Linked DNA regions of Arabidopsis thaliana. The protein of the gene in region 1 interacts with the protein of each later gene in a pairwise test. Each region holds a gene or a part of one and is shown on either strand. Other genes may lie near its edges.

Evidence for each region. The genes of interacting proteins can lie anywhere in the genome.
Region 2: the proteins of WRKY7 (region 1) and IAA30 interact in binary tests that used the Arabidopsis thaliana proteins (3 or more experiments, as listed by UniProt).

What each region holds. Positions count from the first base shown.
Region 1 is NC_003075.7:12,568,710-12,575,148, reverse strand, and holds WRKY7 (WRKY DNA-binding protein 7), read right to left. Parts: upstream 3,612-6,439; 5' UTR 3,220-3,611; coding exon 2,444-3,219; intron 2,342-2,443; coding exon 2,216-2,341; coding exon of another isoform or gene 2,212-2,215; exon of another isoform or gene 1,863-2,211; coding exon 1,703-1,862; 3' UTR 1,376-1,702; downstream 1-1,375. Other genes in the region: MLO13 (Seven transmembrane MLO family protein), read left to right, coding at 1-141; AT4G24231 (uncharacterized protein), read right to left, coding at 6,125-6,274; ACBP3 (acyl-CoA-binding domain 3), read left to right, coding at 6,395-6,439. UniProt on the Arabidopsis thaliana protein: Transcription factor. Interacts specifically with the W box (5'-(T)TGAC[CT]-3'), a frequently occurring elicitor-responsive cis-acting element.
Region 2 is NC_003074.8:22,992,595-22,997,917, forward strand, and holds IAA30 (indole-3-acetic acid inducible 30), read left to right. Parts: upstream 1-3,091; 5' UTR 3,092-3,240; coding exon 3,241-3,607; intron 3,608-3,737; coding exon 3,738-3,834; coding exon of another isoform or gene 3,835-3,838; exon of another isoform or gene 3,839-3,944; coding exon 3,945-3,999; 3' UTR 4,000-4,215; downstream 4,216-5,323. Other genes in the region: AT3G62110 (Pectin lyase-like superfamily protein), read right to left, coding at 4,719-5,323. UniProt on the Arabidopsis thaliana protein: Aux/IAA proteins are short-lived transcriptional factors that function as repressors of early auxin response genes at low auxin concentrations.

The DNA.
Region 1 (6,439 bases):
TTCGACAATGTAGTACAGTCCACACTGGAAGGATGGTTAGAAGATACGAGGAACAGAGGCGAATCCACGAGCGAGGCTCATAGGATAGAGATGCAACCTACAACTCCTGAATCTTATAATGTCCAAAGTGAAAACCCTTAATTAAGTTGCAATTTGTGTCGTAATCCAATAAGGCTATCCCTTTATTATTTCACATTTAGAGCTCTCATCAGAGGATTGTGTGCATCTATGACATTGACGCCAACGTTCCTTTCTACTTTTGAGGCTACTAGATTAAGTTGACTTGTTACTTTTTATAAGAAAGCTTCGATGATACATGGATTGATATATAATTAAAAAGCTTCTATGTTATTTACTTTCACAACGTTTAAATTTTCAATGATGTTATCGGATGTAGCTTAATTTTTCAGAGTGGCAAATTTAAATTTTTATATAAGTACCTTTTTTTGTTGATAAGATAAATTTATCCCATCTTCTAAAGAGAAGAACTTTAGAATTGCTTTTAAATAAGATAAATTTTATATTTTAACAATAACAAATTACTCGAACTCATTGTCATTTTTCAATTTAATACTTAAAACGATTTGTAGACGTTATAGAATTTCTAAAAAGGTCGTTAACTTTGTAAGGGAGAAAAATACTAAATAACATTGCATTTGAACGTTTTCTTTTACTAATCTCTAAAATAAAATAAAAAATATGGAATGCTTTTTTTTTTTTTTGACTAAGTGAATGACTTTTTAAATTCTATTAATGGATATGTTGTAAAATACTCTTTTTGTATCACTTTAAGTGATGTTTAAAGGTTTTATACACAAATTAAGAAAACACATAATTTGTGTATCACTTTAATCCTACCTCTTTTACATATAATACAATTAAACAAATTTTAACTAATTAGATAACATACTCTAAAATATGATTGGTCTAAAAAATTTTAAAACATCTTTTTAAAAAAAGTCTCTAAAACATCACTTAAAAGTGATATTGAAGAGTTATAACGCAATGATGCATGAATAGCTGATTTTCTTGGTAACAAAATTTTGTAGTAAAGCTTTAAATTTTTTACTAAATGTTGAAGTACTTTACACTTGAATTTATAGCCGTTAACATAATCATAAACATTGTCAACTTTGTTGGAAAAAACACACTTAAAAGGATAACGACATTGCATCTGAGGTTTTTCACTAATGCTGAAATAAATACTTATTAGAGCTACTTATTATTTGATCGACAACTTTTCTAGTTTCTATAAACGTGTGTTAAGTTGATTTGACTATGTAATCTACAAATAGTTCTTTTTTTTTTTGTTTAACGAAATTTGAATTGCAATTTTTTCCAATTACCAGCATAGCATTATGGTCAGTTGAATCTAAATTAACTGATAATTTCCCTAAAAACTCAAATAGTTCTGCAAGTAAGAAAAGAATCAGAGATTTGACAAAAATAGTGCACTAAATATATATTATCCTAGAAATAAATAAACAGAAAAGGACATTCACATGATTCAACTTCCATCAAGATCCACAACGTTCCTCTCTCGTCTTTATCTCCCCTCCCTCTATTTCCTCCAATCAAAAAGAAAGATAAAGCAAAAGCTTTTCAAAAAGAAAAGAATAAAAAAGTGCAGTGCGGGCCCACTCTGTCGTTGACTAATCTGGATAGTGGTCACACACAGACAGTTCCCCTCAAACTCGAGAAACTAAAGAGTTTTGTCATGATTCATCGTCGTCGTCTCGAGAACCAAAGCATGGTTGTGGTCTCCTTCGTACGTCACGATTAGCATCATCGCATCATCTAGTGCACGCTCCACATGCTTACGCGCCGGACAACCTCTTACACTGCTGCACTTGTAATATCCCCTGTCATAACCATTACACCGAGTCCTCCCCAGTTAGTTCGAGTTCTTATTAATTAATGAGAAAAGAAATAGTCAACTTAACTCTCGGCTTTCTATTTCAAATTTATTCTATAGGAAACAACAAGTCAAAAAGAGCGTGAAACTGAACCCACTACTGTACTACTAGACAACATGTTTGGTACAACCGATATAGAAAAAAACAATATTGACAATCTCTCTGGTACTAATATTGACAATACACAAGTTGCTTAATTTTCTAGCCAATATTTGATTTTTGGTGTTGAATCTAGTGAGTGATTGTGATGTATGTGTAGAGTATATATATCGATGGTAAAAAATGTAAAAAATAATTACCGAGGATGAGGAGAGCCTTTGATTGGTTTTTGACCATATTTTCTCCATGAAAACTCATCTGATGGTATATCAGCCATTTTGCTACTTACTGCTGGAACTCTAATCACTCTTTTTACTCTTGATTTCCTGATTTTTTTACACAAATTATAATTAACGTTTTATTAATCAAATCTCAAGATTTAGATCTAAAATAAGATTAATTTTTAATAATAGAAGTTGAATCAAAACCTTTTCTTGGAGCAATGGCAACGGCTTGAGGGAGATGAATTACATCTTCTCTTCAACGAAGCTGATGATAAAGGAGGTTTACCTCTCGAACCAGAGAGCTGAGATGGGTTAGTGAACTCGAATCCTGATGACATGTGAGTACTATCGGTGTCACATCTATGAGAAGACATGAATGAGTTCGTCGCTGAGACTGGTGGTGACGGCGCAAAGTTTATCGTTGACGGTGCTCCGTTTGCGAGCATCGGAGGAGATGAAGAAGACGAACCGTTCTTTGTTTGATTCTGATTGTTGTTGTTATTGTGTGATAGAGGAGGACGACGATGAATTGGTGTTGGACAATAAACTCTAAACGCAGATCCACCACCGTGATATTGCTCTGTTTTCTGTTTTGTTAACACGGAGCTTGTTTCTGGCTTCTTCTCCTCCACCTCCACCTCCTCCTCAACCACCGGCGTTTGCTTAAACGGCGTTTGCGTTGACGCGGGAGCTCGTCTGAATCTAGCGTGTCCGGTTCTAGATCTACCGAGTAGAGAAATGACCTTCTTGAAGCTGTTAACGGCGACGTCAGTCACCGCGGTTATCTCCGTCTGACTCTTCTCCGTTGGTTGTTGACTTTGACCGATCAGTTTAAGAAACTCCTCCACACCGTGAATCCCTGCAGAAGCAGCTTCTCTCAAAGCGGTATCTTCCATTTTCGCCGCCGCGGCGATTGCAGGAAAACCATCACCTCCTCCTCCGCCGCCGCTGTAGCTGCTCATCATCAGCTCAACAGTCATCTCATCAAATCAGAGACCAACCACTCAGATTCTTATTAAAGGTCAAAGGAGATGTAAATAAATACAAAGATTCAACAGTTTTCTTGTAAGTTGTGTTTTTGGTTAAAGAAGAAGATGATGATGATGATGAGGGGAAGAATAAATGAAGAGAGTGAAAAAGGGGGAGAGTCAACGATATGCGTTTCTCTCTCTATATCTTTAGGTATGTGTTGATAGTGCATCAGTCAAATCGACCACCACTCATAGGCTTACACGTGTGATCATTTGTCAAGCGTTTTGACACTCCTCAGCGTCAATGATTTTAAATTTGGAGCAAGTGGAGCTCGAATTATATATATATTCGTTATTATTATTCGAGAAAAATCTAAGATATTTTATATTTTTGAGGCTGATTAGATGCTAAAAATATAAAAATTAAATTTTTAATTAAAGAAAGATCTAAAAGGAGGAAGGTCTCTCTCTTCTCTCTATAGTATTTTTCAGAGAAAGATTTTTCCGATGTAAGTTTAGAATCGCCGTCCGGGTTTCTTCCGGTTTCCGTTATCTGGATTTTTTCCGGCTATTATCTCCCGTTGATCGGGATTTAGATTTCTTTTTGGGCAATTTTGAATTCGGTTTCTTCGGATTTGTTTTTGTTTTGTAGCTTTAAAATCTTGATGATGAAACATTATGACAGGCAGAATCTTCAGTTCCGAAGAGGTGTTCTCTTCGCATGATTTAGTTTCTTTCTGCTTTGATTGGCTTCACCGTTGGGTTCTGTTTTTTTTGGCTCCAACAGTTTTCCGGCGATGTGTGCGTTCTCGACAATTAGGTTCGTTTGGATCTACTGTGTTTAAGACAGTTTCAATTTCTCCACGACTAAGGTTAGGTCAAAGCTCGTTTCCTATGCAATTAAGATATGCCTTTGTTGTTCTTGCAAGAGATTTAATTGTTAGACAAGTTTGAACTACTCAGTTTTCTCTAATTTCTTTTACCCATTTTTGCCGAATCCTTTGTGATTCTTGCAATCGGATGAGATTAGGAGATTGATGTTTGTTCTGTAACTTTTAATTGGTGATAAAAAAGAAGTCTCGTTGACCGGTGATTTTCCAACGACGTTTCTGATTCACCAGGCTTGAGTCTCATGTGCAGTGGAGGTTAGGCCTGGGCACGAAGCGAATATCCGGAAAATTTGGGATATTTGTTATTCGATTCGTTTTAATCGAATACTTAATTTTATTATTTGCTTTGATCCGAAAATTTCCAAATATCCGAAAATACGAATATCCGGATTTTTGTATGATATTTGTCGGATATCCGCTTTGCTTTGCTACATCCAAATATTTTTTTATATAAATTATTTAACATAGATTTCAAATTTCTTACCTTATGACTTACGAGTGTGAGATTGAGAGCAACTGAAAATTTTCTGGTTATAAATTCTGTAACCAAATTGAGTGATAAAAATAGTGAAAGGTCGAAGAAAGGAAACAGAAATGTCGCTCTTATATTTGATGGATTGGAAAGTAAAACGACAATTTTAGGATAAAATATAAAAAATAAAACAATTTTATTTTAAAAAATTCCACTTCTCTAATAAAAACTGTGTCACAAAAAAAACACAGGCCCAAAGGATACAAATACAAGCCCAAATCCCAACATATACAAATGCACAACCTATATTGTGATATATATATATATATATATATATAGATCGAAGCGAATATCCGACTTTAGAAAAAATAGTATTTGTTATTTGCTTCGGTTTTTACGATTACTACATTTTTCTATTTGCTTTGCTCCAAAATCTTACGAATATTCGGATTTTTCGAATCAAATCAAATCGAATATTGAGTTAAAGCGGATCGAACGAATATTTTGTCCAGGACTAGTGAAGGTTGTGGACGTTCCACGTGTCCCTAGCTTATTATTATTGGTCTGACACGTCTATAGCTTATCTCTTCTTTTGTGTCGTATGAGCCTTTATATGTGGGATGTCTTGGGCTTTATTTTGGTTTTCTCATAACCAAGCATTGTACTGGTAATGATAAAATGAATAAAATATTACACTTATGAGAAAAAAAAAAAAAAAAAGATGCTAAAAATATTACATATTTATGCAGAATATAGAATAAATCACACATACTGATTTAATAAATGCTCTATCAACTCTGATATATAAGGAGATTTTGAAAAGAAAAAAACAAAGAGGAGACTTTTGTTGTGCGACAGTGATTTTAGTAATTTTGGCAAAGTTAAGTTTGCCTTTCTTTGTTTGGTAAAGTCGTTAGGGAAAGAAACAAAAACTTTTTATTAGTGAAAACCTCGTTAGACTGATTTTTAAGTTTCTTCGTGAAGTGTGTTGTTACCCATTTATCAAGTTTTTTTTAACCGTAGTTGAGCAAATAAGGACGAGTGTCATGATTGTGGTTCCGTCACAAACTTATCGACTGGGTTTGGCCATGTAGGTGAATAGGTAGGAAGACATGGGCCTTAGTCTTATCATATTATGCATTAACATAGGCCCATGTTTTGTTTGTAAAGGCCCAAATAAACTATGAACTGTCCTTGCATATTACCTCAAAAACCTTTAATCTCTCTTTTGGTCTTGTTTTCTATTTCCATTTCTATACCATTCAAAACTATAACTTAATTTCAGCATCATTAAAGCTTGGAATGGGAGTAATTTTCAATGAGCTGGTTTTTGTTATTTCAAAAAAACTCACTAAACATCCAATCAAAATTAAGGAAATTAGTTTTCATAAAAGTGTGTTTTTTAAAAGCCAGATTTTTATCATACGAAAATCCAAAAAAAAAAAAAAAAAAAAAATTAAAAAAACTCTTCCAATCATTATTTTAGTTTGTAAAGAGTCCAAAGACAAAGATCCAGTGAGAGCAAAAAAAAAAGCGGCGCGCTGCATAAGGATTAAGGAAGGAGCCGGTGAGGTGGAGAAGAGGATAAGAATAAAACCGCAAGAGCCAAGTCAGCAGTCATAGCGGTTAGGCGTTGAGAAAATATAATTGACGGACCCGCTTCCCGTTTAAAGCCGAATATGCTTTCTTCTTTGTCTCTCATTTATTCCTTTTTCCTTTCCTTCTTTTCTAACCTTTCGTATAATTACATTCTTTGCCTTTCTCCTTCTTCTTCTTTAGATCCTAAGTATCTTACTTTCCTTTTTCATCATCTTCTTCGATCATGGAGGTTTTCTTAGAGATGCTTCTCACGGCGGTTGTTGCTCTC
Region 2 (5,323 bases), on another chromosome or scaffold:
AAGAAATCTACATTATTGTAAAGGACTGGGAGAAATAATTTTCTAAGAACAAGAGCAACACATATTTCTTTATGATGAAATGAAATCACTCGTAAAGAAACGGGAGTAGCTTTGAAGTCATTTATCACTTGTACGTCAAACAGAAGATTAGAAGGTGAATCACTGCATTTTATGGTTTGGTTTATGATAAAGACGGTTTTTTAATTTTTAAACCGCTATGTTTTTTGTTGGTTGGTTTCGAAGCCAAAAATATATCAGAGTGGTGGTCAAAAACCTCTAATTTTGAAGATATAATAATTGGTTTATGTCAAAAAGAGATATAATAATTGGTCTTGCATGTTGGTATGGTCAACTTTGTGACTAAAAAAAAGAAAGAGCCTAAAACGAGAAAATGGAATGAGTTGGCCAACAAGAGAGGCTACAAAAGAGTCACGAGACATGCAATCATCCGGATTTGAAGCCAGCCCATGTTTTTACTGACAAGCAAACACATTGCAGTAAAGTCGAGTTATCATAATTTATGATAAACATAAAGTAAATTATGAGTAGTATTTTTTTTCTTTCAAAAAGAAGCAAAACTCTCTTACAACTTAATGATTTGTAAAAGGACGAGACATTATCATTAAATCTTGAAACTAAAAAACTATGAGTGCCTTGAAAATCTGAGAATCACTGTTTTTCTTTTGAATTTCATTTCTATGTACATATGGTGAAATCTCAATTCTCCAATTTTCTTTTAGTATTGTTTTTATACTTTCACAAATAGGATTTAATTTACTTAGAATTGACTCTATTTTTTTCTTGTTTTTACTATCTATGTTCGCTTTCCAGAATTTTATACGTTATTCAAAGAAAATACTTGACCAAATACATGTAATAACATATTGGTTATCTAGAAACAAAAGACGAGTACAAGATACAAAAAAAAAAAACAAAGGGGACAAAGAATGGTGTGGAGAAAAAAGTTTGAAGAAGAAAGAAAAAAAAGTGAGGAAATTGTGATGATAATGGTAGGGGTGGTGGGGAACATATCTCTTCTTTATCAGTTTCCCTTTTTTTTTTTCTCTCTCAAAAATCATGTTTGGAGTTTCTTTTGGTTCAAGCTAAATCTTTTTCTCTTCTTCTTTCTAATAGTATCTATTTGTTTCTTCAAACCAAACGATATCTACGCAATACATGTCGGTTATTGTGATAACGACATTGTTTGGATGTTTCGGGTTCAAAAGATTTGTATGAATGTGTATACTATATATGTTTTTGGCTCAATGATAAAGACACTTGATAAGAGATTCAGGATCGTTTCAAATTATTTTAAAAAACTATATATAATATGAAAAACACTTTAATACTTAAGAATACTATTTGTAATCCGTAAAACTTTAAGTTCTAAAACCATTAATTAAAAATAAGAAACAAGTTACGTTGTACATATAAACTAAAAGACGGAATGGAATATGATTTGATTGTAAAAATAACTTTGGACAAAATCTTCCAATTATAAAAGAGAGAACAAAGAGTTCTAATCATATTGATTGGTAGGTCATGAAGAAGCTTAAGGAGTGATTGTAGAAGAGTGGAAGTGGAGGCGACAAAGTGAGGAGACACGTGGAAAAAGGCACGTGACGTGGGGAACGTGAAATGTTGTCGATAGTGTTTACTGTCTCGTGCTTGCAAAACTATATGTATGTTTTGGAGTGTGAGAATTGTGACGTATCCTCAGTCCTTAGTCCATAGGCGAAGCATCTCTCATTAGCTCCTCTCTTTAAGGTTACGCATTCATTACTCATGCTTCCCTTCTCTCATTTTCTTTCTTTTTCTATATTCCCCTCTATTTGTTTCTTCGCTTCTAATTTATTACATGTAACGTACAAAACCAAGAAGCATGCACTTTTTTCTGGTGACCAAAGTTTAATATATCAACCGAATTGACTATACCACATACATGTTTCTATCTAAATCCAATGAATATTACACAAATAGAATCTTGGTGTGCCAACCAAAGAGAAGCATTTATTAAAGTCACTATTTTGAATACTAACGACGGATAAGACTAAGATCACCAATATGATGTGTTTTGGTCTCTGCCATGAAAAGATACAGAAATTCTGATTAAGATTTGTGGGAGATTAGCACCACTTGATTCACTTTGATTGCTACACATAAAAGGTTGGTAAATTGGTTTAGTATTGGAAAAATATAGTAGTGGTTGGACTTGACTATAGATGCTTCATGATAAGATAAATTAAAAGGAACAATCAAATTAGTAGAGGAGTGTAATTACTAACAGCGACGTGGATTAAAATCATGGAAAGCTCAAACTCTTGTCATGCTTAGATACAATGGAGTCCACGTAGACTATTTTCAATATTTTTTGTCATAATTAAAGAACATTATTAGAGAGTTAATGACGTACATGAGACGTGTTTAGCAGTTGATATTCAATTTAAAAAACATTTTGACATACTTTAATGCTAAAACAAAAACATTTTTTTTGCTTAAAGTGTCTCGCGGTTATAAAAAAAACCTTAATTATGGAAGTGTTGTTTGTCGAACCCACGAATGCATCAATGCGCGTCACGATAGTCTCATGCATTGAACTTGATTTTACTAAGACGGATAATGAAGTAAACTATGTATTGTACATTGGTCTACATTTATTTAAGAAAACATGTTCTTATCCGGTTTAGAACTATCTTGTCTACGTTCATATGATTCCTTAAATCTAAGCCTAAACTTTTTAAACTAAATCAGTCACAGTTTCTTATTCATTTATAGTGTTTTAACAAAATAATTCAGTTAATTCTAAAATCCAACCCTAATTATTTTATAAGAAATCAAACAATCTTTTTTCTTTTTTTTTTTGTTAAACGAAAGGTAGTACTAGGAGTCGAGTATATTTACATTGAAACAAACAAAATTTAATTAGAACACACCCAGCAAAAAAATCCGAGCACAAAGTCAAAACCAACACTTTGACCAAGTGTCTGCATGACACGTGTATTTGTCTGCTACATGGACAACATCTTTAACAACACTGTCTCATCATTCCACCATTTTCTTTAATTAAAAAAAAAACATATCAGAAAGACCATTCCAATATTATTACTTCTTCCTTTTAAGCTCTAACAATTAAATAAAAATTTCCATTCTCTATATATAATACACACACGTTCAAATCATTAATCACCTGTTTTAGATAAAATCATAGAGAGAGAGAAATAGTAAAAGAAATAAAAAAAAATGGGAAGAGGGAGAAGCTCATCGTCTTCATCGATAGAGAGCAGCTGCAAAAGCAACCCATTTGGTGTGTCTTCGAGTAATACTCGGAACCTAAGCACGGACCTGAGACTCGGGCTCAGCTTCGGATCATCTTCCGGACAATATTACAACGGTGGAGATAACCATGAATATGATGGAGTCGGTGCGGCAGAGGAAATGATGATCATGGAAGAAGAAGAGCAAAACGAGTGTAATAGTGTCGGAAGCTTCTACGTGAAAGTGAACATGGAAGGAGTTCCTATTGGGAGAAAGATCGATCTTTTATCTCTTAATGGATATCATGATTTGATCACAACTCTCGACTACATGTTCAATGCTTCAATCCTTTGTAAGTATCTACACACACTTAATTACATCTTTGCATGTAGACTTAGTTAATATTTATATTTGTTATACCTCTCTTTGCATGTATATAGTTAAGACCAAAACTAATGGCAATAAAAAAATTGTGAAAATAGGGGCTGAAGAAGAAGATATGTGTAGTGAGAAGAGTCACGTGCTAACGTACGCAGACAAAGAAGGTGACTGGATGATGGTTGGAGATGTTCCTTGGGAGTAAGTTCTTTTTTAATTTTAGTGTATTAAAAATCTCTAGTTAAGTATTTTTTTTGACATAATTATGTAAAAATTCCCTTTAATTAATGGGGACTTAATTGATTATGTAGGATGTTCTTGTCTAGCGTGAGAAGACTAAAGATCTCAAGAGCTTATCACTACTGATTTTCTAAAAGCAAACTTGGAAGAATCTAGGATTGACCAATACAGTCAGTGGTGGTGGGGGAAAAAGTTAGTTTTGTCTGAATGTAAATCACTTGTTCGAGATTTTATTCAAATTTTGTTTCTAGTTTTATTACATTTATAAAAAAATCGGTTGTAACTTGTAATGAAGCTATTTTTTTCAAGAAAAAAAGCTGTAGCTAATGCAGATCCTTTTTGGTTTAGTAGTTATTTTTATGGTTTTAGACATAGATTAGATAATACTAGAAATATGAATTGTTTTGGAACACTGCTGAATTAGGTTCATATTCGTATTCTAGTTTTCACAAAGTTTCAGTTGAGTTACTAGTTTAACCAAATCAAGATCTATTTCATATTTTCATACTATCATTTACTTCTCAATTCAACTATTTTACCGGAATAAACAGTGAAATATAGTTGTTCTAGTTATGGAATCTGAAATTGAAAAATAATTGTCAAAAAATTTCAACAGACTCTGTCGGAGATATTACAATTGTTCCGCTCACCAAAAGCATTAAAGCCCATACAAGGAAAACAAAAACAAAAACTCTTAAGCCACTCTGATTATTTTCCTCACTGCACACAAATTTACACGAAAACAACAAAAGATGAAAGAAAGCATCATTTTTCAAAATCGAAGAGGTTTCTTCAGAATCAAGCAAACTGTGTTTCCCCTTTGATGTTCAAAACTTCACAGTAACTTACCAAGAAAGTAACCATGGTGATCTACTTAAACCACTTGATATCTCCATATTATTTTCCGATAACCCGAAACAATCAGATCCATGTTCCGGGAATATACTCTCTTTCAAAGAATCACAAGTAATTTCCGGCGAAACCCACTGTGAATAACCTCTCACATTCGAGCATTCCCATGGTGATTTCTTCGAATTCTTCTTCACTCTAAGAGTAACATTAAGGAAACATATATTCTTAAACACATCTCCTTCTATACCTTCAAGAAGACCCGCAACACCTATTCCATCGCCATTTACATTCTCAAAGGTGATTTTCTCTATAGCTGGGAGTGCTTTGGGATCGTATTTCTCATCAGGATGTTCACCGTACTTACCGGTGAACCTAATCGCTTTCTTTACATTATCGAGCTTCACGTTCAAGATGTGAACGTTTCTAACATACCCGCCTCTTCCAGCAGAAGTCTTGATTCTGATTCCAGTATTCGAATTGAACAAATGTAAGTCTTTAATGTATATTTCGGATACACCTCCCGACATTTCACTTCCTATTGCTATTCCTGAGCTTGAAGTAGTTTGACCTGTTAACCGATTAATCTTGATCTTGGAGC